4 linked regions of the Lepisosteus oculatus genome follow. The protein of the gene in region 4 interacts with the protein of the main gene of each other region in a biochemical or structural test. Links are inferred from orthologs where the notes say so. Each region holds a gene or a part of one and is shown on either strand. Other genes may lie near its edges.

Region 1 (7,606 bases), on a different chromosome or scaffold from region 4:
GCACGTTGTGAAAGTGAAAGGCCTTGCAATATCACTCGAGTGGAGTATCGACCTTCCCCTTACTTTTTGATTTGTCACATTTTAGATATTAGGTTAACAGCACTTTGGCTTTGTAGCTCAGTTTGGAGACCATTTTTGTCCCCATCTATACACCACAGCTGTGCCATTCTCTGCTTTTGTCCATGACAAACTGTCTGGACATACGGAAACATTTATGTAATTGTGAACCTCAAAATGTGAAACGATGCCTTATAAATAAAATTGATTAACTGATGCTTCTCATTACAGTTGCTAGTAGTGGCTTCATAACTAACCAAAAATATTTACTACATAGGCTACACGTTACACCTCAATGCATATCTCAGATTACCTAATTTCTGTTCACAATTGTGAACTACCAGGCACCACGGCAATGTAATTTGGTGTTCACAGTCAGGCCTTTGGTCACTAATGTTATTAATAACTATGTGTACATCTGAACAGCCTCCTTCAAGTACACAAATGTACCCACAAATCGGAAAGCACACACTGTGACATGCACCAAATCATCAGCCACAGCACCCTGCATTCTGGTTCAAAAAGAGAAGGCACATCCTGTGCAGGACAGACGGTTTGCAATCTGGTGGAAAGCGATTCCTACACTAAACCGACTCCTGTATTGATTTGCGGTCTGCTGGAGGAGAAGGCCAGCACGCTATACTCACTTAGTATGTGGATCGTAGTTCACCTCATCACGCTATACTGTGTACGTTAAAACTCTCAAGAGGGCGGAGCAGTAAAGCTCTCCATAGTTTTCACTTTCCTTTAGCAAAACCTGTGCCACGATCACAGAAGCTCATTTTCAGGTTTTTGTCGTGATTCCACTTTTTGGTCACGAATTTTCCATTTGCATTCTCAAAACACATCAGCGCTCTGAGCTCATAGGCAATTACAGGGAAAGTCTCCCATTTAATGTTTCTTTGGTGGGGAAGAATACGTTAACGACCATCATGTGACCACATGCAATCACATGTAACGCTTCACACTGAGATGTACGTCAACTAAAACCCATTCAGAACGTAAGCGGGATTGGAATGGAAATGTTTAGTATATTGGGATGAAAAATCGTAAGATTGCGTAAACCCTTCACTTAATATACGAAAAGGCATGTTATGCCCACGTTAATAATCAAGACAACCTGATCATCCGTGCACCTGAGCGAAAGCTGTCAGCGAAAAGCAGACACTGCAAAATCACCGTGACCACAAAAAAAAAGTCCCGTCCACGAAAAGTAAGCGAAAATTACAACACACGACACAGGTGAAGCGTTCATTTATAAACGGATGCAAGACTGCCATCTCTTAAACCATACGGAAATAAAGCGTTTACTAAAGAAGATATCCTGTTCGTTGTTCTGAAAGGTATGCTACTGCTTTAAAACTTAATCCCCGTTTTGAATAATCTTGGTCTGGATTTATCCCTTGCCAAGCGTAATTACACAACACGGATAAAGAAAGCAACGGATGAGTTCCCGCAATAGTTCAAAATAAACACTGATGAAGTACACACAGTGTTATCTTCAACAGCAAACACTTTCACTTTGCCAGTAGCATGCAGAGAATTGCTCCATTGCATACGGTCGAATTTACACTAAGAGTTACGTGTAACATTCATGTTTCACACACAGCTGTCCATTACCATATCAAGGGCCGCCTACAGATACAAGGATTTTAGAAAGGGTTTAAAATGTTACACACATTAAGCACAAAATCTATACAGATTAAGCAGAATGCCTCTGCAAAACCACAAGATTGACTGAATCTTGTACATTGAAAACAAAGGTTTAAATGGAAATCTATGAATGTGTCAAATCCCACCTACTGCTGCCAGATGTTGTAACTCAATATTGTCAACGCCTTTTTTTCTGAATACGTGCAGTCTCTCCAAAACAAGACCTTTTAATCGAAGTGCATTTTAAAACTGTCAACTGAAATGTATTAGAGCAACCCCAGGCGAAACGGTCACTCGTTTCAACTCCTGAAATCGTGAATTATCTCCCAATAGACTCGGCTGATGCACCAGGACAGTCATTTTCAATTACAACAGCCTAAATCGTGCGCTCAGGAACATCCCTAAAAACCTCACACCTAGTTTGCCAATAAGCACACGATTAAACTCGTGAAGCCATGAACATCTTGCGTCAACGTCTGTAACTAAAAAAAAAAAACAGAATGCATTGCATTTCATTGTACAATCTGAATTTTTACACGGCACTTACTTTCCGATCACCTCGCAGAGCTCGTATACATCTTCAAACAGCACGTCGTCGTCGGCCATGGCCCAACAAGAATGGGGAAATTATCCCCCAATATGCCCAGCCAAAACGGTATATTTAAAAATAAAACAAAGGATCACAATTCTGTACTGCTGTTCTTGGACTGGGGGAGGGAAAGACTGGGAAAATCGCGAAACGCCGTTCGGTGGCTTTCCAAATTCCAATAGGCGGAAAATTACTCCTTTCCCCCACCAAAAAAAGCAAAGGCGCTCGGGCTCCGGCGATTTCTGCGTATTTTAGTCCGTTTGTCTGACTCGGTCTCCGGCCCCACCTTCTCCTCGTCTCCCCGGCTTCAATCCCCAATCCCCCAGTTCTGAGGCTGCAAACTGAGATTTTCAAGCGATTTAAAATAAACACTCCGCCTCTCCTACGCCTGCGTCTGCGTTGCTCCTCGGTGTAGCTGTAGCTAAAGCTCTCCCAGTCCACGCTGCGATGCCTCTATATATAGATTTATTTCTTTGAAATAATATTGCACGGGATTAATCCAACAAATTGCGATGCCCTCCTGGGCGTGCAGCTAGTTTGCACGCCGTGCTTGCTTGGGCTCCTCTTAAAAGACGCTCATTGTCTGTCTTTTCATGCACACGCTTTTTTCCCCGTGTGTGTTCAGGTGTACCAGCGCTGTAAAAAAAAAATGGATCTCCCAGTCTCTTCTCCAGTTCGCCGCTGCTCTAGTTTTCCTCTCTTACTCCGCCACTCCGCCGCCGCCACCGCCGTTGCTGCTGCTTCTGCTGCTCCGGCTTCCAGAAACGGCAGGCTCCTCCCTCCCAACGTTACGAAACTGGCTCCTAGAGCGCCATTGTGGCTCCATCGGGAGCCTGGGAATCCTGCAATGCACAACGCAGCCCGGGGATCCAAGATGGCGTACCTTTCGCCTTTTTTATTAAACAAGACGCAGTTTCCTGACTCCTTCTTAATAAAACCTTGCTCCGTGTCCACCAATCCAAGGTAGCAACGAAAGCCTACGGCGCACGCGTTGGGCACCTTATACCCATCGGGTGACGTCACCTCTTTCCTTCACAAATGCTTTTCTTTTTCCACCCAGCCAAGCAAAAGCGGGGACTAGGAGAGGCGGCAGGAGAGGTGGCTGGTGACTCACCGCACCTGGATGGGGCAGGGGAAAGAGTTCATTGCTGAGGCGTAGCAAAGGCTTACTCAGCTTGTGCGAAACAGAAAAGCTAGTTAGCGAAGGCAGCTTGGAGTGTTAATACCTCTATTTCATAAATCGTTGTGAATAGAAATATCCACTTGGAATTTTGTTAAATGTTTGCCACCTTGTTAATCATTGTTTAAAAGCCATTTGTAAATGAAATATAGGAAGCAAACTTCGAACCTCTTCATATTCGCACGTACTGTACAGTGAAACTACCGAATGCATTTTCTTCCTATAGCGCTGTAACCATCGTGATGACCTGCTAGCTCGTCTTCTGGAGCTCAAGTCACGAACACGAGATGACAGCCCTGCCACATCACATCACATCTTAATGACCCCACCTACAACATCAACAATACACTGTATTCATGGGAAGCCCTGTATCTGAAGAAAGCAGACACTTGAGCCACTGGCAGCTTTTGCAGTCACAAAGGCTGACCTCGGATACAATTAAAAGCCACCCAATGCTCCTGGATTTACACTTAGCAACTGGGAGTTCAGGATGTTAGGCGGGTTCACCGCTCGCTATTCTGGCACGCATGTGTAAATGGATCCTATTTGTAAGTGTTTTCAAACCGCCTCAAAATCTAAACGTTTATGACCTGTGTGTGATTGCTATGGTAGCACTAAAATGTTTGCTGGAGGGTATGTCTGCTGTCGGTTCAGCCTTGAACAAGACAGACGTGCACGTGAAAGCAGCTGTGCTTTAGCAAATCACAAAGCAAGCAGTTCTTTTTTTCTGCTTTAAGTCATTTATAAATTTAAGGAACAGTACCACTGGATATATTAAACATATTAAAACAAGCACTATTAAGAGGTGTTTAAGGTTGTAAATGTCACTTCCCTAAAAAACATTATGTCACCTTTGAAATTCCAGTTGAAATTCTAAAAACGTTAAATTTTATTGGAACCGTTTTGACAATTTATAACAGAGCTGTTAATGGAAACACACTATGCTATATTAAAAGGACCAAAAATAATGGAATTGTTCCCACAGTAGTGTCATTGTAGCCATGTAACACCTTTTTATTTTCCTCATTTACATGCAAGTGTTTGTGTCTGTTCTATTTTGTGCTTCGTGTTAGAGGGGTGTCATTATGTGCATGTGGAGCCTGCTCTTTTGAATAAAACTTCACATAAACAGGAAGCCATTCTTAAAAAGCATCCACTTAAGCAGAAATGGCAACATTCTTCTATTGCGTCATTGTGCTTTCAAGGCTTCAAACAACATCAGAATAATTTTACAGTTCGCATCTGGATGCCTTTTCTGTTTGAATGTTTTTTATTTTGGTCAGCCCCTTCCTCTGAGAAAGATGGATTGATAGTATTGCAGTCTTCTCGCCTAATTGGGGCTAAAATATTAAAAATCCATTCTTGTCTTTTGCTAAAAGAAACAATAGGACTATTGTTTTTCTTTTCCTTTGGTTCCAGGGGGTGAGCCTAGCTTTTGTTTTTTATTCCTCTTTATTATGCATAAAACTTTATTTTTTTCAGCATGGAAGCTTCTCTGGAGAGATTCCTGGGAGATTTCCATCAATGCTTCTGGAAATTGTGAGAGTGAATAAAGCAAAGAGCTTTAACAAACAGCATGACAGAGCTGTCAAGCAATGTAACATGCAGAGAGCATTCCTTCCTCACGGATACAATGCAACCTCTTTCAAACAGAGCAGGTCATTTACTGCAGTTGTCACTAACGCATGTTATTTGTACTATTTCCATGGCCCATTCCTGTAAGACATTGGGTTGCCTGAATGGGCGGAATTTCAAATCTAAGAAAACATGGAAAAGGAATAAAACTATGGCATTTTAATCAAGAAGGAAATGTTCAAAGTTATTATTATTCTGAAAACTTTTGTTCTGTATACACCCAAGTACTCTTGTAAGCTTTTGTAGTGCCAAAGTATCTTTTAACCTCAATAAAACACTCTTTATCTGGAGATCACACAGAGGTAAAGCAAGGTGCGGAGTCAATTCAGCTGTAAAAAGTCCGTTATAATACCAATATTAATATCAACATAAGACCAGAAAAAAGCAGACACTAACGAGGGAGTATATAGTAGCCTGGCCTTGAGAATCACATAAGTTTCAACATTGACACAGATAGGAGCATTTCACCATTTCCGAGAAAAAAACAACATTACTCGCCAATTTTATTTCTGTCCTTCTGTAAACACCTCGTCTGGAATTGCCAGACTCATGACTGCAGCTCTGCATGGACTTGGGAGGCTTAATGAAGACATTAGACAAGCATCCTACTAGACAGAGGGGGTGCCCAGCCAGCTGCAATTTTTTTTTGTTTGGCAATTAGATTCTGCAGCTCTGAATAACAAAGTTCTTCTTTCAATAGAAAGAAGGGAAATAGCTGCTACTGATAAATAGTCATCAGTCATGCAAGCATATGGTCCGAATCAGTGGTCAATGACATACAGTAGAAGGGAATTTCTCAAGAGTGGTGGGTTTGGACCTAAAAGTTGAATGGACCTAGAAGGATTCTTGGGAAGCTGGATGAGAGGGTGTTGTACTGCTTGAGGTTTGTTAAATTCATGGGGGGGTTGAAGGCACCCCTGAAGTACAGAGATCCACCATCCCAACACACGACACCTTCACAGCAACACCCACAGGAAACCACAGCCAAAGCCAGGATATGCCAGAGAGTGTAACTTGTATGTGAACAGTCTCCAGGCTGTCATATGAGCCACTCAAGAGGCTCTCAGTCACTTCTCTGTTCAAAAGGTTACTAGAATGTATTCATGTATGATGGATGGATGTTTGCCCATTATGCCTTCTGGGATGTAGGGGCAGCAACATCCTGTTTCATCCTGTCCATAACATTTTGGGTTTTGTTACAGGACAGGGCTGTTCACCTTGTGCCCAACCTCCAACGTGGAGGACCTGGCGCCCAACGAGGGACACAAACCCACTATCCTGAGATTATGAGTTTCAAGCTCTATCACCAGAGCTAGTTAGGGCTGTTAATGTATGATGGGGTGTCCCTTTATTTTCTTCAAAAGCTTTAAGGCTGTCTGGCATTGTCTCAGATGTCTTTTACATATAATATCGCCTTGCACCTGTCACGCCCTCTGCAGCCAGAGGGCGCTCCTTCTCTGTCCTGTCCCTAGTTTCCTGTGTTTGCTCTCCTTCCGGTGTCTCTCTCTCTGGGGCTATATATTTCCGGGTCACTTATTCTGCTTCGCTCAGCATTGATGTTCAGATGTCCTGAGACCCGCCTAGCACCAGGTCGCCGCTCTGTCCGTGGCCTTAGGGCTTAGGTTTCTATACAGCACTCCAGAACTCTTTGCACTGCTGAGCCCGGGCTAACTCCCCGTTCCGCCACTTCGCATAGGGTGTTTTTCGCTCTCCTGCCTCTCCACGGTTTGTCCCTTCCGACATCTGTGACAGCACCCTTCCCCTGTCATGCATTTCAATGCAGCTCACATGTGAATAAGGTGCCATTCAAGGCTCTACGGGGTACATAGTCCATCCAAGATCACTTTGTACTGCAACGTCATCATTATTTCCATTCATGCGACCTGTAAATAATGGGTGCGGCTACACAATATTTCACAGTTTAATTTCTCAGTTTTGAAAAATGACATCTGCTGTGCCTTGTTCTTGAGCTGTTTTAACTGTGGAACATCTGTCCCCCTCTGCCTTCCTGATAATCAAGCGATCAGTTTTTCATCTGTCTCTTTAGGTATGCTACATTATTTTCACCGATGTAGTTGCAAACATTTTCAACAGAAGAGTGGACAGGCACAGCCTGAAAGCTTCAGTCATACGCTTAAGTCTTTGTCTTAGCCGGAAATCCTTTTTACAGATGTCTAAATGTCAGTAGGTTAGTTCTTCTTTAACCAGGAAGCAGCTCTCCTTTAGAATAAGCACAAAATATAACTATTTACATAAATCAAAGCAATCATAGTATTCTGATTCTGCTATGGGGTCTATGGGGCTAGTCTTATATATAAAGCCTTTCTAAATGAGAACCAGTATTTTATCTTTAGTACTTTTGCAGGCAAGGTATATTTTACTTGTAAGTTGCATAATTGACCAGTCAATTTTTGGCAACAGTACAGCATTTCAACCAAACAACCAGAAATGATAGTTTATTCACTTCAAACAGGAACTAATCAGATGAGCAA
Region 2 (7,369 bases), on a different chromosome or scaffold from region 4:
GAGAATAAAACTCTAAATACCACACGGCCTTCGAGGAACAGAGATCTTCTCGTCCAACAAATCTCTTGCTTAAAGCAATCAGTACCTTCCAGGTGTCCCCAGTCTTTGGAAAGGGTTTAGTTGGACATACAGAATGTACCGGCCCAGGGCCGATCCAGAGACACGCTGCACTGCCACCCCTGAAGATATCATACCCAGGTCTAGAGAGGACAGGCGGGCCAACTGGGCATTCGACCGACCATCAACAGAGAAAGCGGGTCAGCCAGGGCTGCTCGGCACCCCCTTTCACCCCAGCGCCCCAGCACGCTCCACACAGCCCTATGACAGGGGGGTGCAGTCCCGGTCCTGGGAGGGGGGGAGGGCGCTATATCTGCAGGTTTCCCCCAGCCTCCTCTAAACCCGCAGCACCTGAAGAGCAGGGAGAGGCTGTTACATGTGTCCAGTTATGAAAAATAACCCGCCGGTTCAGCTCGTCAAGAGCTGTGCTGGAAGGAAAACCTACAGACACTCTGCCCCCCCTCTGAGGACCAGGACTGTACCCCCCTGTCACAGGGGCTTGTCCTGTAGCACCTGCAGAGAGCTCCTCACACGCAACAAGACGCCGCATTGACGAGAAACGAAAGGCTCGTGCCTGTGCTTGGGGAACGTTTTCTACGCCAGACTGGGAGCCTTTGAGAGCGATGAACCCCTCTCTGTCTGTTTATTCTATGGGCTGAGCTGGCCCTGTGTGGACACACAGAGGCCGGAACAGGGAGTTCATTGACCAGAGCTGAATAGGGCCTTCAGCTGCCTGATCCATCATTTCCGATCACTTCCCATGCAGGCCAGCTTCCTGACACCCCTCACATGGCTGGCGGGGTCCCAGCAGCAAAGTAGAGCTGGAATGAAAACTATCCTTCCTGCAGCTCGACCCCCGGGTCCCGAACCTGGGAGAGTCACTGCCGTCCCGCCCCAGAATGTCCTAACTGGCAAAGCTGCGCAGCACAGTGCTCAGACCACTGCAGGAATACTCTGTCCACAGGAGAGACCGGACATCACACCCCGGAAGGGGTCTGGAGGAAAGGAGCCAGAATAAGCCCAGGCCTAAAGGAAATGTCACGAGCGCCTCAGTGCAGGGGAGTCCCAGTGAGAGTCCCAGTGAGTCCCAGTGAGAGTCCCAGTGAGAGTCCCAGTGAGAACCCCAGTGAGAGAGTCCCAGTGAGAGTCCCAGTGAGTCCCAGTGAGAGTCCCAGTGAGAGCCCCAGTGAGAGTCCCAGTGAGTCCCAGTGAGAGTCCCAGTGAGTCCCAGTGAGAGTCCCAGTGAGAGTCCCAGTGAGTCCCAGAGAGTCCCAGTGAGAGTCCCAGTGAGAGTCCCAGTGAGAGTCCCAGTGAGTCCCAGTGAGTCCCAGTGAGAGTCCCAGTGAGTCCCAGTGAGACGGGGGCTCTGGTACCCCTGAGACGCGGCAGCAGCTGGGCGCAGGACGGGCTGGTGGCACAGCCGGCGCCTCCAGCCTGCACACTGAGACACAGGGCTCATTCAGGGGCTCCCCCACGCACACGCCGTCCTGCAGCCCGGCGCCAGGGGAACCGGGCCGTGCCAGCCCCGCGGGCCCGCTCTGTAAACAAGAGCTGGCACTGGGGCCCGCGGGGCTGCTCCTGCCAGCCTCTCGCAGACACTGAGAGGGCCTTGACGGGAGAGGGCTGGCGGGTCTGACGCACCAGAGTCCTGCTCTCCCAGCAGCCAGCAGCTCAGGGTCTCTTAACACACACACACACACACACTCTTACACACTCACACACTCTTATACACTCACACACACTCTTATACACTCACACACACTCTTACACACTCACACACTCTTATACACTCACACACACTCTTACACACTCACACACTCTTATACACTCACACACACTCACACACTCTTATACACTCACACACACACACTCTTACACACTCACACACTCTTATACACTCACACACACTCTTACACACTCACACACTCTTATACACTCACACACACACACTCTTATACACTCACACACACACACTCTTACACACTCACACACTCTTATACACTCACACACTCACACACACTCTTACACACTCACACACTCTTATACACTCACACACACACACACTCTTATACACTCACACACATGCACACTCATACACTCTTAAACATACACACACACATACGCATATACTCTCACTCACACACACACACATTCACACACAGTCTAATACACTCACATGCATATACACACACATTCACTCACATACACACACATACAGTCACACACACATTCACACACATATAAACTCACACAAACTCACAAAAACGCATATACACACACATTCATACATTCATATACACGTATATACACACACACATTCACACACACGCATATACACTCACACAAACACATTCACACACACGCATGCACTCACACACACTCATACACACACAGACATGCATCTACACTCATGCACATGCATACAGTATACACTCATACACAAACTCCCTCATATACTCAAATTCACACACACACACGCACATATACACACTCAAACAGATGCACAGATACGTGCGCACACACTCATTCACACGCATACACGCACACACATACACACACGTGAGCATACAAACGCCCAGGGTTGTTTAATCCTACGCCAGGAGCCTCTTCTCCTCCAAACCACCCGTTCCAGGGCTTTCATCCAGACAACTGTTTGTTACACTGTTGGTCCTTCAGTGCTCAACTGCCCTCGCAGCTGAACCCCACTGGAGTCCTGCAGGGACTTTAGGCTGCAGGTTGATCTGTTTGCCTCCTCTCCTCCTCCTAATCTCCTCCTCTATCCCTCCATCACCTTTGCTTCCCTCTCGCCCTCGCTCTCCCCCTGGGTCGGCCAGTGACCCCTGACCCCCGCTTCCTCCCAGCATCCCCTTCCTCTCTTCCCGACCCGCGCCCTCGGCTCGCCCCTCTCTCGCCACCTCGCCTGCAGTTCCCATCAGCTCGGTTCCCCGTCTCCCAGACCTCCCCCTCCTACCTTCACCCGGCTGCTCCTGATCCTGGGAGACAGCAGACGCTCCACCAGTTTTTCCTGCAGGATAATCGCGTCCATGGCCACAGAGGCAGGAGCCGGCGGGGAGAGGGCCCGGAGACGCAGCGGCCGAGCCGAGGAAGCGCTCAATCCGCCCTCCTCCTCCTCCTCTTTCCTCATCCCTATCCCTATCCCTCATCCCTCCTTCCCACCCCCTCTCAGAGACCTCCCCCCAGCTCTGGGAAGCAGGGCTGGAATTCTGGCCAGCCGAGTGGAATTTCCTGCCTCCGAGGGGGGGTGGTGCAGAGGCGAGGGGCGCAGCCGGCAGCGAACAGCCCGAGCTTTCATCCGAGACGGAGTTCTTTCACGGCTGCCGGCAGGAGGAAACCGCGATGGCGGCCTGTGTTATTCGCGCACTGCAAAGGAAGTCTGCCCTTGAGAAGCGGGCCCCTCACTGAGCTGGAGGAATCAGGCTGCAGGGCAAAGGGATCGACACCGAAGTGTTTATTTTAGACATCTCTGTGCATATAAACCTCTGAACTGGCTCCATCCCTCTGCTCTCCTCCCCACTGAGAGCTGGTGTGTGTGAGAGGACTGGAGCATCACCCAGGTGGGGCTGCACACTGGGGGTGGAGGAGGGTGTAAACAATTATTATTAATTATGATTATTATTTTGCTTGGCTTCTGTGCCCGACTTGGCGTGCCCTGTGCTGGTCCCAGTCGCGAGACGACGTGGGGACCAGCGCTCCCAGTCACCGGCCTGAGCAGCAGACACAGTGAGGCGGGGGGCGGGCTGGGTGCGCGCACTCCCCCTGCACAGCAGCCCGAGCCGGCCCGGGATTTATCACGAGCCCTGGGCTCTCACACGCGGTCCGACAGCGCCGGTGTGCGCAGGCTCCTGCCCCCAGGGGTCTGGGTGAGCCAGGCTGACTCTCCTACTCCTGCTCTACGTGGGTATCAAAGCACAAAGACTGGTTCCTTTTTATTCGGTTTTCTGTTTATTTTTAGCGCTCGCCAGTGCGCTGGGTTTACCAGCAATGTGGCTGAAGTCTGCGAGGAAAACAGCGCCCCAGTTCTGTCAGGGATGCAGGACGTCCCCCCCCTCTCCCTCAGCCTGTACCCACACAGCTCCCGCTCTGCAGGCTGTGCTGTGTACCCCCAAATCATCACAGCCCCCAGTCCCTCCGCTGCTTCCAGACTCCCTGCTGAAGCCGAAGCCTTAGTCCACTGCAGCTACACAGAGCTCCCAGCCGAACCGATTCCCAATACATCACCTGCCAGGGCAGCGCTGCCACACCCACAGGCTTGTTCCAGAGGGAAAGGTCTTTGTGTCGAAGGGCTCCGGGCTTTGGAACAATTCTCTTCCGTCCCACAAGGGGGCAGCGGAGAGCCAGGAATGACGCCATCCAGGAGCACAGCGCTCATTAATAATGAGACAGCTGGCTTGCTTGCCAGCCCAGCCCTGGCCTGATAATATGAATGATAATGCAGCAGCAGCAGCAGCAATGAGAGCATGAAGAAAAGAGAGGAACACTGGTCCTGTTTGAGGCGGCTGAGAAAAACAACCTCAGCAGACGCCCTACACCTCTTTTTAAATGAGATCAGATTACTTAATTGGCCAGATACAATTTGTCTTTTCGCAGACCCCAGCTTGCTCTCCATGAGACACACAGACAGGGAGAGAAGCTGGGGGTCAGAGCACAGGGTCAGCCATTTATACGGCGCCCCTGGAGCAGCTGGGGTGAAGGTCCTTGCTCAGGGGCCCAATGGAGTAGGATTCCTCTGCCGGCCACGGGATAGAATCCAGCAACCTCCCAGCCACAGGCGCAGATCCTGAGCCACAGAGCCGCCACACCGCCCAAGAAATGATGTCAAAAATCTTTCTGAGCCCCAAGAAATGCTGTCAGCAAGTCAGCAATTACAGAAGCAAGCAACACAGTGGCCTAGCTCAAAACAATAAAGACCCCCTTATAGAGGGCAAAGGCGCTCTGGCTTACAGCATCCCAACTCGACCTCTTGGGGAGGGGGGGGGGGGGCGGCTGTGACCCAGGGGGCTGAGGGTGGGCTCGGGACCAGCTGCTGGGGCCAGTGAGTATGTCTGTCTAGAAGGCAGGGTGAGCACTCAGCAGGGTGCTGGAAACACACATGAATGGAGCAGATGTCTCACTGTGATGTCACAATAGCCCTGAAGACTGAAGGATTCTGTTGCCTTGGCGATGCCTGCCCCCCCCCCCTCCCCAACACCACCACCACACACACACACAAACCTTTCCAGACAGACACGCACAGTCACTCCCCAGCTGCCGGGGCACCTGAGATTCACAGTGGGGAACTGAGGCAATGACTCATAGCTCACACGACACTCGCTGATCTTCCCCCTACACACACACGCACACACGTGCCCTGAAACACAGGCGCGCGCCGCATGACAATCAGAGCTTTCAGCTTTCTGAAAACACAGCGCTACATTCCTTCCACAGGAAGAGCAGCACCTACAGTCGCACCCTGCCAACAGCGCAGGTCTCCAGCTCGTATTTGGGGTTTCCAGCACAACAGAGGCCCAGTGTTTGCCGGTCTGGTAAAAAAAAAAACACAAGGCTCTCGCTAAGAAGCAGCCTGCTGTCCCGACCTGCGCCAGCACAGGCAGAGGCCTCACTGCGTGCGAGAGCAGGACAGGGAGAGGGCACCCCAGCACTCACACCCACTCTCGTGTCGTGAAACCGTCACGGTGCGCCGCCGTGCACGGGCAGCCACAGTAAGCGGGGTTTCGCCGCAGTATTATAACTCCAAACAAGAACGTGGGCACCCACAAGACGTCCATTTTCAGGGCTGAAATGCTGTTTCGTAGCGATGCGCGGCAGGACCGGTCTCACGCCTTGACGTCTGGCTCCTCGCGCGTTTACATCGAGCCCTGCTAGATGACACCATGAAGTAATGAACCGGAAATTCTGCACGTGGGGTTTTGTTTTTGGGAGGGACGCAAATAAACGAAACCATCGGCACAGATAGCCTGCGGTCGTGTTTTTCAGGGCAGATCCCGTGCGGTCGTGCTTTCGACCGCGGAGAAGTGTTCAGAAAGAAACCCAGGGTCTCCCGGCAGCTGGATCCGCGGGTCACGGGCGACACCGTCCGCCCTCGTCCCTCGCCGCGGGAGGGAGCCACTTGATTGAGAAAAGACTTGCTACCTCGACGGGCGCGAAACAATAAACAGAGCCCGAGGAGCAAACAGCACACAACACCCCACACCCAACGCAGCGCGTTTCAAGCACAAAGCTCTTCCTCAGGCAGTCTCTATGTTTACTATTTAAGGTGATATAAACTTTATTGTCCTCTAGGGGAACTTTTATATAGACGCACGTTGCTTCTGTACATCTGAATACATCACAAAACATTACACATCTCACCTATTGCACATGTGTTACAACAACAAAAAACGTCATGACTTATTAACCATATAGCTTGTTACAGCATAAACGGTTTATACTGTACCAGGGTAAACGCCACTGTATGTACACTGATGGTTCACATGCAATAGCATTTACCCTTGCCGTTTATTTGTATTCAGGGGAACAAGTGAATATTTGCATCTACAGTGTTTGATCTACATTTGGGAGCCCTAAAACCTTTTCCAGAGGGAAGAAGTTAGGAATATTAAAGGGATCTGATATAATTTATTCCACCTGGAATGGAGTGTTTAAAAAGTCACGTCTGTAAGGAGGAGAGCTGCTTCACTCCCGTAGCCTGGACAAGACAGGGGATTTCTGCTCCTCATTGGACAGATAAATTAGCTGTCGCTCGGTGATCCTTTTTTTTTCTCCCACGGCAGACACTGCTGGGAACCCCTCTTTACACTCCAATGCCAAGCTGTGCCGAGCCGAGCCGAGCCGTGCCGAGCCCGGTTGGCCCCTGGTTGAGCCCACTCACACGTCCACTCCCTTCCCCGGCTTCCATGGGCAGTTTTGAAACACACAGAGGACAGCAGGATGACGACTCCCCAGAACATCTCAGGAGCAGCCCTGGGACAGAGCGACACCGGACAGACCTCTGGGCCTCAGAGCTGAAGCCAGCGGTGCTACACCTCACTGCCCTGGCTGGGATACTGTCCACAGTCAGTGCATTACAGAGACAGAGCGCTGTCATCCAGAGCTGCAGCCTGACTGGGCAGGTGACACTCCACAGCAGCATGCAGACTGCATGCACTGAGCACGGACTGAGCATGGACCGGGCACGCACTGAATATTGACTGAGCATGGACTGAGCACGCAGTGAACACGGACTGAACATGGGCTGGGCACGCACTGAATATGGACCGAACACAGACTGAGCATGCACTGAATATGCACTGAA
Region 3 (8,130 bases), on a different chromosome or scaffold from region 4:
CAAAGCAGATGGACAGGTCGTCTGCACACTTACGGTGTTCATCAGCGTAGACTCGGAGTTGGCCACCAAGACAAACACATCCGCGTCCAGACAGAACTTGTCGATCCAGGTGTCCAGCTCAGTTGTCACATCAGTCCCTGGACTGGGAGAGTGAGACCAGTTTCACAAATTACTACTCCTTGCATGTGTAATCTGGATTGCAGGGGTCAAGGTCCGTCTCCAAGCCTTGGGAAACTGGACAAGACACCCCCCGCCCTGTAAAATGTCTGGACTCCAGGTCTGACGTTTATCCACCACAAAGTTTTGGCAACACTAAGTTTTGCTGACATAACACTTAAGGACACATAGCAAACTTAGCATTGCTCTTTAAAAACCGTTGGTGAAATTAAATGAAAGTTAAGTGTGTTTTAAAGCACCCTTGCTTGTTCTTCTTAGCACACCAGCTGAACAGGAATGACAGGCCAGGAGAGGCCTGGGCTCATTCTGCTCTCGGCACATGTGGTCAAGTTCAGGCACTCAGCAAACAGACTCGAGAGGGGAAGGGGGAGTCTTGCCTGACGCGAGTGGCCCTGGCCTCGGACCGGGCACTATACCTGTCCACCAGCACCAGGTCGTCCCTCAGAAGGGCACACTTCGCCTTGGGCCAGAAGACCTTCACCAGGCAGCCGCAGTCCAGGCTCTTGTCCATGTGCAGGGCGTGGGCGAGCTGGTTCACGGTCTGCTGGCGACAGGGAGGGAGCGGGGAGCGGGGGGCAGACAAAGGGATGCTGAACACTTTTTTTTTTAAATCCTGTTACTTAAGTTCATATAAAGCACTCACAGGACTGAGCAGAACACAGACAGGCCTCGGTTACATCCATCGTGATTTCAGTACAAAATAAAGTCACTCCAGGCATCAACTGTGCCAGATGAAGCCAACCAACATCAGGTGGTGACGTACCCTGCCCCGACAGGACAGCCTCTGATCCCAAATTTATATCCCCCTTCGGGCTCAAAGCACCTCTCCCACCTCCCAGGACTGCACCGGAGTGCCGGGCGGAATCACACTGCTTGCACCGCTTGCCAGAATAATATCAACCCTCCTCAAGCTCTTAAGCCAGGCAGGGCCTTTTCCGAGCTTCTCAACTCTTGCGGAGCAGCGCACCACGACGCCCGTGCCCAGTTCCCCTGAGGGGGCCCCGGAGTGACCCCTGACTTCTGCCGTGTGGCAGCTGGGGGGGAGGGGGGAACCCGGTACCACTGTGCGCAGGACAGCGCCGCCTTTCAAAACCTCGCAGGCTCCCACAAGGCCCCGGCTGACACCGACGTGCTTTTCCGAGGGTACAGGGGCAGCAGGGCTGGGAACGCCCTCAGCGCCAGCTCCCGGACACTCGGGCTGCCGCACCTTGACGCTCTGCTCCTCCTCCGAGCCCTCGGTCTTGAGGTAGGCCTTGTCCCCGTCTGTGCCCTCCACGCTGAGGAAGCAGTTGGTGGTGTGGCCGATGCCGCTGGGCAGCACGCGGTCGCGCAGCATGGCGTTGATCACCGTGCTCTTCCCGTTGCTGGTTCTGGGAAAGGAAACGAAGCCGCGGGGGGTCAGGCGGGCGCCGGCGGGCGCCGGCGGCCTCCGCACTCGGGGGGGGGGGGGGGGGGCACGCGGAGGAACAGCGGCGCGGCGCCTGTACCTGCCGAAGAAGGCCACCTTCATGTGCCTCCGGGCCAGGACCTCGCTGATCACGGCGATCTTCTCAGTGTCCGCCTGGATCCGCGCCCGCTGCTCCGCCGTGGCGATCTGCTCCAGCTCCTCGGTCCGGCAGGTTTCTGGCAGGAGCAGACCGAAAAGCTTCAGGCACGTCTCACGTCTCTCCTCCCGCCTCCCCGCCCAGCTCTAAGGTTTGTAGCCAACGAGGACGGCCCTGCTGTGGCGGCGCACTCGCGCGCCCAGCGATTGGTTTAGCGCCGGGATGGACGCAAACTCCAGCACCTGCAGCACGGCCAAGATCCCGACTCCTGCGGTCCTCTTCCCTTACCTTCCAGGAATGCCGCTCCTTCGTTGACATAATCCAGCAGCTGCTGGAAGATGGAGCTGATCTTCCTCTTCGCCAGCACAAAGTGCTTCAGGGGGGACTGGTCTCCTTGCTCCATGCTGCTGTCCTGAAAAGCAGCCAGTTCGACACTACGTGAGGGACTGTGGACATCACAGCTGTGTCCCACAATAACAGGCAAACAGACTAAGTCTCTCTAGTTGGAAGGGAGTGTCCCACACTAACAGGCTGGAGGAACTGAGTCTCTTTAGTCTGAAGGGAGTGTCCTGCACTGACAGGCTGGAGGAACTGAGTCTCTTTGGTCTGAAGGGAGTATCCCACACCGACAGGAACTGAACCTTTTTGATCTTGAACAGAGAAGACTATCAAGCGACCTGATTCAAGTATTTAAAATCACTTACTGAGTCAAGCCTGTGGATTTCTTTCAGGATAACCATGGAAACACAAATCAGAGAACACAGGTGGACGACGCACCATAGTGCGTCTAAAACTGAGAACAGGAGGTCCTTATTTACCCAAAGGGGTGAGAGAGTCTGCAACAAGCTTATAGATTGGATCATGTTTCTCACTTTAAAAAAATTGTAAGAGGCCATTAACTATTGCTATTTGGTCGGAATGATTTGGGACTCCACAAGCACAAAGAGTCAGAGAATTGCTCATAATTGTACATTAATTGTGCAAGAAACATGACTGCACTGCTACAGCAGGAACAGACCCATGAGAAAACTAGAGAATTCTGTGCCATACAGAGATCTGGACAGGTAATGTTAAGCTCTGGTTTGTGGGTGACCTCGTGACACTGGCTTATCTCCTAGGATGCATAAGTAAGGTCACACACACACACACACACACACACACACACACACCCTGTGAGAGTGTGTAAACACAGAAGAGCACTGGGAAACACACTCTTTACAGCCCCACCCATCTCACACACCACTTGAGCAGACTGCGGGGGAAAAGGTTTTAGTTTCGCTTCTGTGTAGTATCTCTTTCCAAGTCTGTCTCTCAAACTTACAGAAGGTTAGAATACTAAAGCAAATAAAGTTGATAATCTTGGGGTTCAATAATACTGTGCATCCTTCCCCAGTACCAGACGAGCACAGAAATAGCACCCCTGACCTGACCGAGTGACGTCTGCACTGCAAAGGGAACAGCTGGCTAATCCCCATCTATTTTAGTACCTTGTTTCTGTTTACACTTCACAAGCAGGAAAATCACAAAGCAGATATTATAAAACAGAAAAGGAGCGTTTTCAATGGCCAGTTTTAGATGTCCCTAGCACGTAGTAAGAAAAAAATGAAAAAAATTACCTTGCTTATTTTTAATACTGTAGCAATCATGGTCTCTGGGTCTTTAAAAGTCATCATGAATAACATTTAAAGAATATATATTATACAGCTATTTTTAAAGCATAGCTTGTGGTTATCAGACACTTAAAGGCAAAAAAGCGTCAGTTTGAAGTGTTGAAACTGGTGCTATCACACAAGTCTTCTAGTATGAGGTAGGCGATGTACGTGACGACAGCGCTTCACCTGTCCTACGTCACACTGGAAAAGTTGCAGACATTGCTCGGTTCAGACCCAATGATATCTTTATCCCGATAGTTAAAGAATTTCAGAACCGAATGATTATGCAGACTTGGGGAAAAATAGACAACTCGCGGGAAAACCTGGCTGTGCAAAGCAAGGCTTAATTTTTCAGAATATCCCTCATTCCTTCATGTAGCGCTAATTAATGACCCGGCAAGTATCCCAGACTAATTTATTCCCCTTTCCTGAATTCTCTCCCTGTCTCGACTGGGGCCGGACGCCTTGGTCAGACACAAGCTTCATAAACAGGAGATTAACAAGAAAGACACAGAGGCCTGTGTTTTGTTTAGATTTCTTACCTTGGAACCGCTCCGGTATTATCAGTACTGGAACTTTAAAACTACCCAGTTGAAGATTTAAAACTGAAACAAGACCGCACGCCCGAAACGAAACGAAACGAAACCGTATTCCTGTTAACAAAACTGCCTGGAAGCAATAAAAAAACTAAACCGGGCTACAGGATCTTCAAATGGTGACAGCCAGCCAGTTTTATGCACCTAAACACCCTCCTCGCCATGAAACTGCCACCGTATCTGTGCGCAGTGTCTCCTCACATTCTCATCACTGTTCGGAACTGCAGAAAACCGCAACATAGCTCCTGCTATACCTGACAGAGCTGAGATTCCGCCTCCCTTCGTCTATCCTGATCTCCGGGCCTCCTCACAGGCAGCTGCGGCTGCTCATACTCCGCGGCCAGTGCGGTGTTGTCGAGCCGGACAGGTCGCTCCGCTCCGCTGCTCGGTCAGAACTCGGCCCGGCCGGGGAGGCGTGACTGCGGGGTCGAGCTCACGGGCGCACCGCGTTAACCGTCCGGGAGGGAAACAAGAGCGCAAGGCGTAAACCGTCCGGGGCGGGAGGGACAAGAGCTCAAAGCACCAGAGGCATGCCCCCCCCCTGGCGGGCGCAGCGTGTCACTGCTTCTTCTAGCGACCCCGCCGGCGCTGTGAAGCGCTGCAGTGTTCAGCTCAGTTCAGTTTATTTGTCATATGCACAAGTGCAACGAGATGCTTACGTTTAAATGTCATTACCCTGACCTTGGGCGCCGAAATTCACCTCGACAAGAGGGGTTAGTGAGCCAAAAATATTGTGAACCACCATTCGCAGCTTTAAAAACAATCTTTCAAAGACCGGAATCGGTTTTCAACCAATAAAGTGAGTTGCACGGGTGGGCCCGTATCGCCACAGAGCGCTTTTTCAGAGTGATATTGCAGTTAACAAGAAAATCGTAGTATTTGCTCACCGATCCTTGAACTGCCCATCCGCGCTAGACTCTGATATTACAACGTAAACACAGGTTAAAGTCATATTACATTAATACAACCCACAGAACGGTGTCTCACTGGCCGGGGCGGCGCTGCCCTCAGCCCTTGGGTCCTCTGTGTGAATCCGGTCTTCTGTGCAGAGTTTGCATGTTCTTTCCCTGTTCGTTTGGGTCTTCTCCTCTCTTTCTTTCAAAGACACTGGTGCGGTACAGCGCTGTCCCTAAATGGTCCCTGCGTGAGCGCTGTAGCGGACTGGGCTCAGTCCAGGAGGGTGTACTCCTGCCCTGGTCCGTCTGGTTCTGAGCAAGAGCGCCCATGTCACAGATCGCTGTCAGGCGGGAACAGCAAGCATCTTGAGAAAATGAAGGGAGAAGTTATTCACAGTTCATCACTCCTTCTTCGTGACGTTCTTCACAATCGTGTTTCCCTGTTTGAAAAGGTGCCCGTGTGGCCTCAAGCGGAACGATAAGGCACTGTCCGGAGAAAACCGTCCTGCAGGCATGCACCTTTTTTACAGCTGTGAGTCGCTTAAAACGGACTCTGCTACGAAGAGCGGTACTCGGAGCCAAACCTCGGCTGTTCTCCGTGTGTACCGATCACTGCAGGCCCTGCAATGGAAGATGTGTCGCGGGTCCCTTCCCCAGCTCCGCTCTTTAGAGGAGTCTGGCCACAGCGCCCAGCAGGGCCGGATACGAACCGGTTCTTTGCTCTACAGTCCCGAGGTCCAGGGCACGGGCTCGCCAGGTGCTTGGGAATGTTTCACTCAATCGCATGTTGCAGTTCAAACGATATCAGCTGTCCCACATCTGGCAGATGAAAACGGAGAGGATGAGTTTGCCGGGGGAAAAAATTGATGTTTCCTCTATGTCTTTTCAAGTCTTCTCAGGTGGATGACACCACTTTATTAACATAACATCACTTTATTAGGCCTGTTATTTCCCCGAAATAACACATCTGTAAAAGAACGAGGAAGAAAGTCACTGCCTTTTGTTCTCGGCGGCCTTGGGACAGATGCGAATCGATGTTTTTTTTTTAATCAGAGCCTGCCTGTTAGCGCCTTCACAAGAGATGTTGGAAGCTACAGATTATAGATCAAGTTTTACACTTTAAAATATTAGGGACATGTTAATGCTTCTTCAATAACCCAGTTGGCTTTTTCCATCTTTATACATGTGCAGGCGGTGATACCCATCTGGGGACACACAGCAGTCCGATTCTGCAGCACACAGCTTTTACATCACTCCTGCCTACGGCAGCAAAAACTGATATATCTTCGTAAAATCTGCATGTACAGCAAAGGTCTGCGTGCCCTTCTGTTATTTTGATATCTTTTTTCCCCCTGCGAGCAGCACCTGCACAAACACATTTCATGCATTATTAAACAGAGGGATATTGTCAGGGTGAAAGTTGGATTTGAAACTCCAGTCTGCTGAAGCCCTGGCGGTTTGGGAGATCGAAGCCCGGGAAATGGGAGAAACAGGACTAAGTTCGCTGGAACCTTGAAAAAACCGAGAGAGATCGCCTGGGCTGAAGTCCTCCACAGCAGCGCCGATGACACTGCCCATGTAAGTGTGCCGGTTGCTGACAGGGCTGGAAAGATAGTGCTGCGCCCAGTTCCGTCCATGTCCGAGAAATGTCACAGTTATGTTGTTTGCTTTGTCTTATCATGAAGCACGCAGTGACAAGAACGAAGGCACTAACTGTAGGCAGCTGGAAGGATCTTAAAATCTGTATGCATGCATCAGTTCTCTTTCAACTGCTGCGGAAGACGTTGCGTTGCGCTTCGCGTGTGCCGGTGAACTAAAAACCCTCGACAGTTACAGTACGTTCGCTGGTTTTGCCTCTCCTGCGCTCTCTGCGAGCAGTTAAGAGAGATTTGAGCGCCAGGGGAAGGTGGTGATGTGTCTTGACCAGCTTCAACACCTTGACATGAAGAACCTCAGCGTGACAAACAGATCGTTAGGCGGTTGCTGAAAGCAGGAATGAAGTTCGTGGTTGGGTATGAAGTGAAAGGACAGGATAGAAAGAGCGTTATTGCCTGGGATCTGAGTTAATAGGTACATTAGACCCTGTTGCTGTTTTAACCCATAAACCCTCTCTAACTGTCGGGCAAAGCAAAGATTTCAGGACAAAAATGGAAACAAAATTACGTCTCTTCCACTCGAGTATTTTACTGTTGGTATGCAGTTTGCTTTTGCTGCAGAATCTGAAATTTCAGTCTGAGCCGGAATATCTGAGGGAGTTGTAACCTTTTGCACACATTATGCCCGATTCGTCTGGTAGCTGCATCACCTATTGTGGAGATTAATTAACCTTCTGTTCTGAACATAGGAAACGGGACAAAGGCTTTCGGCCCATCTAACCGTTTGGTAGTCAGTATGTTGGTGATCGGAGGATCTCATCCAGCTGTTTCTTGGAAGAGGCCAGGGTACCGTCTTGAACAACATGGCCGAGCAGCTTGTTCCACACTCCCACACCTCTGCCTCTCAGCTTGAAGTACACCTTCGAGTAGTTTCCACCAGAGTCTTCCGGTTCATGTCGCTCTGCTCATCGGAGACGTTTGCGGGGTTGAGCTTGTTGAAGGCTTGTGCCTGGTCGCCTGGTCGCCGGCTCTGTCCAAGGCGCAGACCGGAGGAGCCCGTCCTCTGCCCGTGTGCTGTGTTTTTGAACAGCGTCCCCCCGGTGGGGGGGCAGTGCAGTGGTCCCTCTCGTTCCCTTCTCCTCCTCGCACGCAGCAGGAGCTAATCCCTCGTAAACATGGAGCACAGGACACGCACGTCTTGAGGAAAGGAGTCTCCCTCCGGGCCTGTAACAGCCCACGGGGCATCGTTAGCTGGCTCGTCTGTTGGCGTTCCTATAGGAACCCGGGCGGTTGCCGCGGCAGCCAGGCCCAGGTGAGGGACAGGGTGCGAGCCGCACCTGCAATCCTCCCGTCAGAGGCTCCACGCCTCTGCGACGCACTTCATCCGGGCGGTAGCGTGTGTGTGTGTGCTCCGCCGCGGCAGGGCCGGGGTCCGCGTTGCCATGTCCCAGCCGGGAGCGGACATGTCTCTCCAGCCGGCGTCGCGCAGGGGGTCCTGCGGAGTCCCGGTCCAGATCACGCTGCAGTGCGCGCGCAGACGCTTCACCAGGTAGGGTAACCACTCTCTCTGCCTTCTCCGGCTCTTCCGGAGAAGTCCTCTCCCCCGCCGCCCCAGACTGCTCGGCCCCCCATTCGTCTTTCGTCGTTTCGTGTTCTTCCCTCACCTGGCC
Region 4 (8,247 bases):
CTTGCCTGGGCTTTCCTTACTCTGGTGCCCTCTGACAATCGAAAGACTGGATCCAGATTAACTGAAGTCTAGAAAATGTCCATACATTTGCATGGATGGTTGGATGCATGTATGTCCTGGAATTCCAGAATTAAGTTGTAGTCCTGGCTCACATCCTGTTTTTGCTGGGTCAGACTCTGGTTCACCTAACTCCTTTAAGGATAAAGGAGTTACTGAATATGAATCGGTGGTTGATTGACTAATAAGGGAAATCAATATGTTACCGGAGTGCCTTTTTGTAACAAGCAACATCCCCCGGGGTCTTTAAAAACCACGACACTAATATGTGGTAAAGAGCAGAATTGCCTCTTCAATATGTCCACCTAAGTTCAGACACTGGTAACATGCAGCCCTTTCCCAGTTCCCTATCCTCCTTCTCAATTGCCACACTTATGTTAGTACCTTGGCTCATTCTTCCAAGTGGTACAGTGGTACTGTAGATAGCCATAGCCTGTCAAAGCCACAACAATATCGACAATTGTTCTCTCAGATGAACATGCCTGCACGCACATTGATGGAACAATTTAACCAAACTGTAACTCTGGAGCTCTGGTTAGGTTTTTATTATTACTTGCTTGTCTGACAATACGTGGCTGGGGTTACACACTGATAATGAGCTCCTAGTTATACTGCCCACTATTCACACAGCTCCAATCAGTAGAGCTTTAGATCACTGAAAGCTATAAATAAACATGGAAACATTCAGCTAATGTGAGCCACACTCTCACAAAACTACAAGTTTTCAATGCAAGGGGATAAACTTGTCGTTTTATTAGAGACTAGGATTATACATACAGTATATAAATACTGCAGTATGGCTCAATCTCAGAGTTTAAGGAACATCTTTGGGAAAATCTTACTTTTAGATGTTGTATAAAAAAGGTAATGTACTGAATTACACTCCAAGCTTCAGGGCAAGTGATTTGCAATTAACTAATTAAAAATCTAGATTTGTTTTTTACTTTTCTGAAACTATGGTGGTAAAGGTTTTATACAGTACTTGACGTCAGAAATTTTAGGAATTCTTCTATTAGGATTTTTAGAAACTCTAAAAAACATTTTGTCTGATTTTATACTGTAAGTCACAATAAAATGTACAGAAAATACAGTCTCACATCTCACATCACATAGAATATTCTTAGTTCAGACAACTGCTACTAATTATATTATTACTATTGGCCTAATGTACCTAAAATAAATGTGATAGGTCTTCCAGAGATTCTAGAGATGCAAAATACAGAATGTTGATGAAATTCCAGGTTTCCAGCTGTACTGGAAGCATATCTTAAACATAAAGAGCTATATTTAACTAAAGATTTGACATGAGATTAAGCCAAACAGACAAAGATATAAACAGCACAGAAAATTCCACTTGGCTAAACAGTTTGTCTGCCCTAACACTAGTGCTTCAATATCATCCTAAAAAAAACTAAAATCCATCAAATATTGTATTTCCCCTTTAGCCATTTAAAAAAGGAGTATCCTGTCTGAAATGCTGAACAAGCTCTTTTTCCAATCCCATGAAAAATTGTTTTTTTTTTTATTATTGTTCTGTTTAGAATAAAGTTTCTATTAAAGTTACTGGTTCTGGAAACAACACAAGATATGAAGTGTTTTGACTTCACATAAAGACCTGCTACAGTTCTGCTAACGAATTTCACGGTTCAAGGAGATTGAATCAAGTTAACCTTGAGATTTTGATATAGAAAAAGAAATGGGTACATTCGACAGGAAAATGGTACAGCTGTGTCTCTTTGGCTTAATTCAGAACTCTGGGTCAACACTTTTTACAGGCCTTGCCTGGCCAGAAGCTTGCTTTCAAGATTTTGAATATGTTGTTTATGAGCTCAGGGTGGCCCAGTGCCGCAGTGGTTAGTATTGCTGCCTTGCAGTGCTGGGTTTTGGGGTTGAATTCCAAACTTTCTGTGCAGGGATCGTATGTTCTCTCTGCGTTCGTGTGGGTTTCCTCCAGTTTGCACCGGTTTCCTCCCACAGTCCAAAAATACATGTGTATATTTTGAGAATATTAGCCCTGGTGTGACTGCGTGCGTGCCTGTGTGTCTGCCCTGCAATGGACTGGCGTCCCGTCCAGAGTGTACCCTGCCTTGCGCCCCTTGCTTGTCTAGTTAGGCTCCAGCTACCCTGAACTGGAAGAAGCAGCTCGAAAACAGATGGTGGGATATATTACCTCGATCGGTGTTCTCCTCAACACCTTTCAGTGTCAGAACTGCCACCTTGTTTAAAAAGCAAGGGCTCATCCACAATGTCAGACTCTTGGCTCCATGCTGCAGTAACCCCAATGCCAGCTACAGCCTTCATAATGAAATTAACACTGTTCCTACAAGGGAAACACTCTGCAGATGCTTATAAGTATTTTAATAATGTTCAAATTGCAATTTGATGACTAATCATATCACTGCCTCAGATTTTAAGAATTCTCACAGTCTCTCTAAAACTGGGATTAAGAGGCACTACATAAATATTGTGCACTGAATCTTTTTCATTGCGTCTTTTGTACAGAATGACAAGAATGTATGGGGAATTTAAAGCTATATACTTTCCCCTACGTACCTAGTTATGTGCAATAGCAATAGCACGTAATTAAAAACGCTCATTATCCTATCGATTCACAACACCTGCTAATAATGAGAAGTGCACAGAAAAAAAGAGCCACCGAGAGATCACGTGATACCCTCAACTAACCTCTGTCAAAAGCTGCGTGAAATGTCTCAGGATTTAATAGGTATCTCGTGGCTTATTTGTAGATAAGCAACCAATTTAAACAAAAAAGTAATAAACAACGGAGTGGGAAATGAAAAGCAGCATTAATTATGCAATGGTGTCATGCACTATACATTTTCTTCAGAATAATAGTATAGTTTTAAGATTAGAATGCGGAGTTGAGGGGACTATTCCCCGTTTAAGCGTCTGATTTCTATAGCTGGGATCATGAACTGCAAGCCACTATTTACCATCTCCCGTCGTCAAGCTGAATTACAGGTTAGATGCACTTTTTCTTATTTCGAAAGAAAAAGAGAAATCAAGAGAGACACGTCACACAGTATCACCAGAGTCACATACCTATCATGCTGAAGAGACGCAGTCTCTGACAATGTGACACTGACAGTCTACGCACACGTCTCTGTTTGTATTTAAGGCTATGGCCTACGACATCCCAGGTCACACTGCATCAGCGCACGTGTAATGGTCCCTGAAGCATGTTGGGAAATGTAGTGCCCTTTTTTTCCGTTTCTGTTTCAACGTTTTCGTGCAACGATTTACAAGATACAAACGTAATTTATTATTGCTGTCATGATTTCTGCTACTACTATTTGAAAGCAACTACTGAGTTTTATGTATTTTATAGCATGCTTCTTCTGGTTGTGACCGAGTGCTTATTTAATTGGGTAGGTCAGTCTCTGCACAAAACGAAGAATTCAGGTCATTAAACAAGAGTTGACGGTTTGGTCGTCTTATTTCACGAATTTATTTTTTTACTGCTAACCTTAGAACTAAAACTTAGAAAGGACCCTGAAAACGGTGCGAGCGAGTGCATCGCTGCCAGTCCAGTTCTAACTGTACGTAACCAGAGATCTCTTTGTTATAATTAAAAATGTATGGTGCCGTTTTTTATAGCCTGGAACTTTTTTTCGTTTTTCTAAGTAAAATTTGTGTATTTGGTAATCACATGTAAAATCTCGCCTTATAACAGAGAAGGGACTTTTTCATTTGGTTGTGCTTTTTCGGGATAAGTTGCTTTTGCTTCGGCAGTTTGGCGAGTGAGTACAGTTTCCCTGTAATCATTCATACATTATTGTAATGATTGAAAATGATTGCATGTGCTTAACAGATTCCTGCTATCGTAGCAGACGTTTTGCTGTCGAGCTAGTCGAAGATCAATTCTAGCGGTAATTTAAGGAAGGGCGCCGGTGGTATTTTATAATGCGTCTTGTGTTCTGTTTAACTTTAGTATTTCCAGGTATGTCTGTAAAACTCAGTATATGAGAACAATTGACCAAATTACACGACACCCGATTTGGTGCAAATTAGAACAGTTTGCTAACTCTCCAGGTGTTATGGAGGACTTCAAAATGACAAACTGCAATATACAGGTATTGGACAGAAACAATGGAAATACCCAGCAAAGGGGGAACACTATGGATATTGAAAGCAAGGTCTCCCACTCAGTTCTGGTCATGCTTTAATTAAGCAGCTAGCATCCCAGCACGCTTAGAGGCATGCATAAAAACAGGAGGGCCTGGTTTCTGGAATTCTGGCTGTGAGAGCACAGTGACTTTGAAAGAGGTGTGTTTGTTGAGGTGAGTACAGCAGGAGCTTCGGTGACCAAGACGGCTCAACTGGTTGAGATTTCGCAACAGTAAGTGGAAGCACAAACTATAATCATGATATCCATGCTTAAATTCAGAGTGCAGGGCAAACGAAGCCAAGCAATTACGCAGCAGGTGATCTGACTGCAAATGCCAACCTGGGGTGCAAGCATCCAGTTTAATCAAAGGTGGTCTGTAAGAGCTCCTCAAAGTGGTACACTGTACAGAGGTGGATTGCAGTGCAGGAACCACTCCTCACTCCTGGCACGTCCAGTGGTACAAAGAGCACAGGCAATGGACTGCTGAGCAGTGGAGAGATGTGATATGGTTAGAGGAATTATCCTTCATGTTCTCGACAACCTCAAGCACTCAAGGATTGTAGAGCTTTTTGTTCCAACAGTAAAGGATTCTGGTGGTTCTATAATATTGTGGGGCTATAATAATATTCCTGTGATGGTCTGGGTGTATTTGTTCCTTTCGAAGGCAAGGTAGATGTTATTGGCTACTTAATAGTGATCGTCTTCACCCCATGTAGCATTTTTTTTTCATGGGGGGCATCTACCTGATGGCAATGTCCACATCTACTGAGCATGTGTGGTCTCCCAATAGTTTAATCAGCTGTACACTGATGTGTGTTACAGTATGAAGTATGTCATGGCCTTCTCACTCACCAGAAATACTGTAAACACAAATGAGCATTTATGAGATATTTTGGATTTTTCCAGAGCATTTTTTCACTTCCATCAGCCAGGCTTTCTCATGGAAGAATGGTGCTCCATGCCTGCTGCAGAACTCCAGATGGTGTACACTCTATGTGATGATGCATACAGGCCATACTGGTTTCATGTGGTGATCCAGCACCTTATTATGTGAACTATACATTGATTGACACTACCTGTGTGTTTTGGCTCTCAGTTCCTGCTTACAGTGTATTTGGAAATTCTAGCAGCTTCGTGCCGTTTTACTGTACATCAAAATGCTCAAGATTCCAACTCTGATAAACCCTATATGTCTTTACTATACTTTAGTATAGTAATCCTATACTAAACCCTATATGTCTGTATGTTCGCAGTTGTAAATAAGTTGCTTCAAAATACAGTATTTAGCCCTACATACTGTACACTAGCAAGGAAGTAAGGGTATGAAAAATAGTTCTATTTTTTCATTTATAATGTTTTATTGTTTAATTTTAGATTCATACAAATTCAAACATAAAATTCATATGCAGTAGCATTATTTCTAGATGCACATCATAGAAGCCCTGCCTCATTTAGATTTTCTGTTTCTGTCTTGTGGAAGCTTAATGCGTTAAGCATTGACGGTTGGCAAGTAAATACTTTTAGAATGCAGTTTTTCATACCCTACAAATGTGTGCTTTCCATCAGTACTGGATATCCAGTGAGTCCTAAACCAGTTTTGAGATAACAGTCCAGTCATGTGCTCATGGTCTTTGTGTGTTCAACAGTGATTTTCTTTTTTTTAAGCAAAAGGAATCTTGGCAAAAATAAAATGAGGACCTGCTGCCACCCTGGGTGTGTAATGATTTTAGGATAAATGCAAAAAGTCTTGGGTATAAAGAGTTAATTTACATAATTATGTTGTTTTTTCTATTAGTCTTTCTAGAGAGATTTATGTGCAGCTTTTTAAACATGTAGACTATTTAAAGCATTGGGGCTGGTAGATGCTGTAAACTTCATTAATATTCAAATTGAAAATGCATCAATGTAATGTTTTCTGCATCTCTTCAAATGTGATGTGGCATATTACAACCAAAGTTACAGGGTTAGATGATTGACTAAACATGATTCAATTTACATATTAATGAGTAAAATGACAGATTATAATATTTACCCCCCTCTCTCCCAGGGGTCAACACTGTACTTAGTTCCAAGCTTTCAGGTTCCAATAATTCTACAATAAAAGAACATTCTAAGTTTTTTTTTTTAACCTTGTTCGGAAAAGGTTAAGGAAGGTAACATTCTGTTCTGGATTTCCAAATGTTTTTTGAGCTGTTTGCAGGGTCTGTTTCAATCATGCTCAAATAAAGTTGTGAAAACTGAAAATCATTTTTTGTTTTTTGAGCCAAGAGATTAGACAAAGCATAGACTTTTTAAAGAATAGGGTTCAGTGACATGAACAACATGCTTAGTCTACTAGGAAGTGTAAAGGTTGTTTTCTCTATGGAAGCTCATCCTTGTTTAAAACATTACAAGTGAGGATGATACTTTCATGTAACTGCTTCATGCCACCCTCTGCTACTTTTTTGCCCAATATTAGATAAGCATATTTGCACATTATTCAAAAGCTCAGAGTATGTAATGGACAGTATAAAGCATTCCCTAAGATGCAGATATCTTTGATCTTTCTGTAGTGATAGAGTTTCAGTGTTCTTTTAGTGCTGAATTTAAAGTGAACAGCACTGAAAAAATATAAGTGCAGTACATTAGGCATTATTTATGCAGCAGTATTTTTCAGCAAATATGGACACTTGAACCTGTAAATTGCTCCCAGGCGAACATTAAAATTTCGTAAGTTTAAAGGACTTCTTTGAGCAGCTCTGCCAACTGTTCATCTCCATTCCACTCTGGACATGTGTTGGCAAATATGACTCACTGGGGAGCTCTGGCTAATGAAATTCTATCTTACATTATTGGAGAGTTCTCAACATAAATAATAATTGCAATCTAGTTATGTTTAGTGACAATTTCCAACCTTGTGCCATAACTAATCTCAATTGTTTTATGTTCAATCGACAGTGATATGGATTCAGTACAGGTAGTTCTGCTGTTTTTGTTTTTGATTCAACACACCTTTAAGGCTACTGTATGTACTACTTCATAATTAAGGGCACATTAGTTTGCACAACATTTCTATAAAGTAGGAGCCCTATAGTGAACAATACCTCAGCCAAAATGCATTATGATGCTGCTGCAAAGCTCTGACAAACACATCATTGAGAATGACTGCTATGGTACTGTACTGTAGGTCCAGTGGCATCTTTAAAAGTGTTTTATACCCTGTGACATTGTAGTTTTAAACATACCAATACATGAATACTCATACTGAATACATGATTTAAAGTAAGAACATGACAACATATGTACAGTATTATTATAATAATAATTGCTTACACCTATATAGCACTTTTCTGGACACTCCACTCAAAGCGCTTTACAGGTAATGGGGACTCCCCTCCACCACCACCAATGTGCAGCTTCACCTGGATGATGCGACGGCAGTCATAGTGCACCAGAACGCTCCCCACACATCAGCTATCAGTGGGGAGGAGAGCAGAGTAATGAAGCCAATTCATAGATGGGGATTATTAGGAGGCCATGATTGGTAAGGGCCAATGGGAAATTTGGCCAGGACGCCGGGGTTACACCCCTACTCTTTTCGAGAAACGCCCTGGGATTTTTAATGACCGCAGAGAGTCAGGACATCGGTTTTACGTCTCATCCGAAGGACAGCGCTTATTTACAGTATAGTGTCCCTGTCACTATACTGGGGTATTAGGACCCACATGGACCACAGGGTGAGCGCCCCCTGCTGGCCCCACTAACACCTCTTCCAGCAGCAACCTTAGTTTTTCCCAGGAGGTCTCCCATCCAGGTACTGACCAGGCTCACACCCGCTGAGCTTCAGTGGGCTGCCAGTTGTGAGTTGCAGGGTAATCTGGCTGCTGGCGACCTGCTGGTGGCTGCGGGTTAAATTATGATTTAACCGGAACAGTAGATTATGCATACCTTTTCTTAAAGGATCAGCAGTGTAGCTGGCTAACTTATTCCAGACATCCATAGCCCTCAGTGTGAAAAAATACCTCCTGTATTAAGGTCTTAGTGCACATCCTCCAGATTTCCATTTGTGTTTTGGGCACAGT

What was found.
Region 1: the proteins of prkn (region 4) and caska form a complex in vitro, tested with the Homo sapiens proteins (2 studies listed by BioGRID and IntAct, with this or other methods). The link is inferred for Lepisosteus oculatus from reciprocal best matches to the Homo sapiens genes PRKN and CASK.
Region 2: of the proteins of prkn (region 4) and septin5a, one has a biochemical effect on the other in vitro, tested with the Homo sapiens proteins (2 studies listed by BioGRID). The link is inferred for Lepisosteus oculatus from reciprocal best matches to the Homo sapiens genes PRKN and SEPTIN5.
Region 3: of the proteins of prkn (region 4) and mfn1b, one has a biochemical effect on the other in vitro, tested with the Homo sapiens proteins (3 studies listed by BioGRID). The link is inferred for Lepisosteus oculatus from reciprocal best matches to the Homo sapiens genes PRKN and MFN1.

The regions. Positions count from the first base shown.
Region 1 is NC_090710.1:3,905,289-3,912,894, reverse strand, and holds the start of caska (peripheral plasma membrane protein CASK), read right to left. Parts: upstream 3,218-7,606; 5' UTR 2,317-3,217; coding exon 2,258-2,316; intron 1-2,257. UniProt on the Homo sapiens protein: Multidomain scaffolding Mg(2+)-independent protein kinase that catalyzes the phosphotransfer from ATP to proteins such as NRXN1, and plays a role in synaptic transmembrane protein anchoring and ion channel trafficking.
Region 2 is NC_090717.1:1,151,993-1,159,361, forward strand, and holds the start of septin5a (septin 5a), read right to left. Parts: upstream 3,218-7,369; 5' UTR 3,203-3,217; coding exon 3,029-3,202; intron 1-3,028. UniProt on the Homo sapiens protein: Filament-forming cytoskeletal GTPase. May play a role in cytokinesis. May play a role in platelet secretion.
Region 3 is NC_090708.1:1,648,637-1,656,766, reverse strand, and holds the start of mfn1b (mitofusin-1b), read right to left. Parts: upstream 3,428-8,130; 5' UTR 3,404-3,427; coding exon 3,338-3,403; intron 2,134-3,337; coding exon 2,010-2,133; intron 1,801-2,009; coding exon 1,665-1,800; intron 1,548-1,664; coding exon 1,385-1,547; intron 719-1,384; coding exon 594-718; intron 143-593; coding exon 34-142; intron 1-33. Other genes in the region: calcium-activated potassium channel subunit beta-3, read left to right, coding at 7,903-8,009. UniProt on the Homo sapiens protein: Mitochondrial outer membrane GTPase that mediates mitochondrial clustering and fusion. Membrane clustering requires GTPase activity. It may involve a major rearrangement of the coiled coil domains.
Region 4 is NC_090712.1:15,389,776-15,398,022, forward strand, and holds the start of prkn (E3 ubiquitin-protein ligase parkin), read right to left. Parts: upstream 3,166-8,247; 5' UTR 3,128-3,165; coding exon of another isoform or gene 3,121-3,127; intron 3,096-3,120; exon of another isoform or gene 2,353-3,095; 5' UTR 2,298-2,352; coding exon 2,228-2,297; intron 1-2,227. UniProt on the Homo sapiens protein: Functions within a multiprotein E3 ubiquitin ligase complex, catalyzing the covalent attachment of ubiquitin moieties onto substrate proteins. Substrates include SYT11 and VDAC1.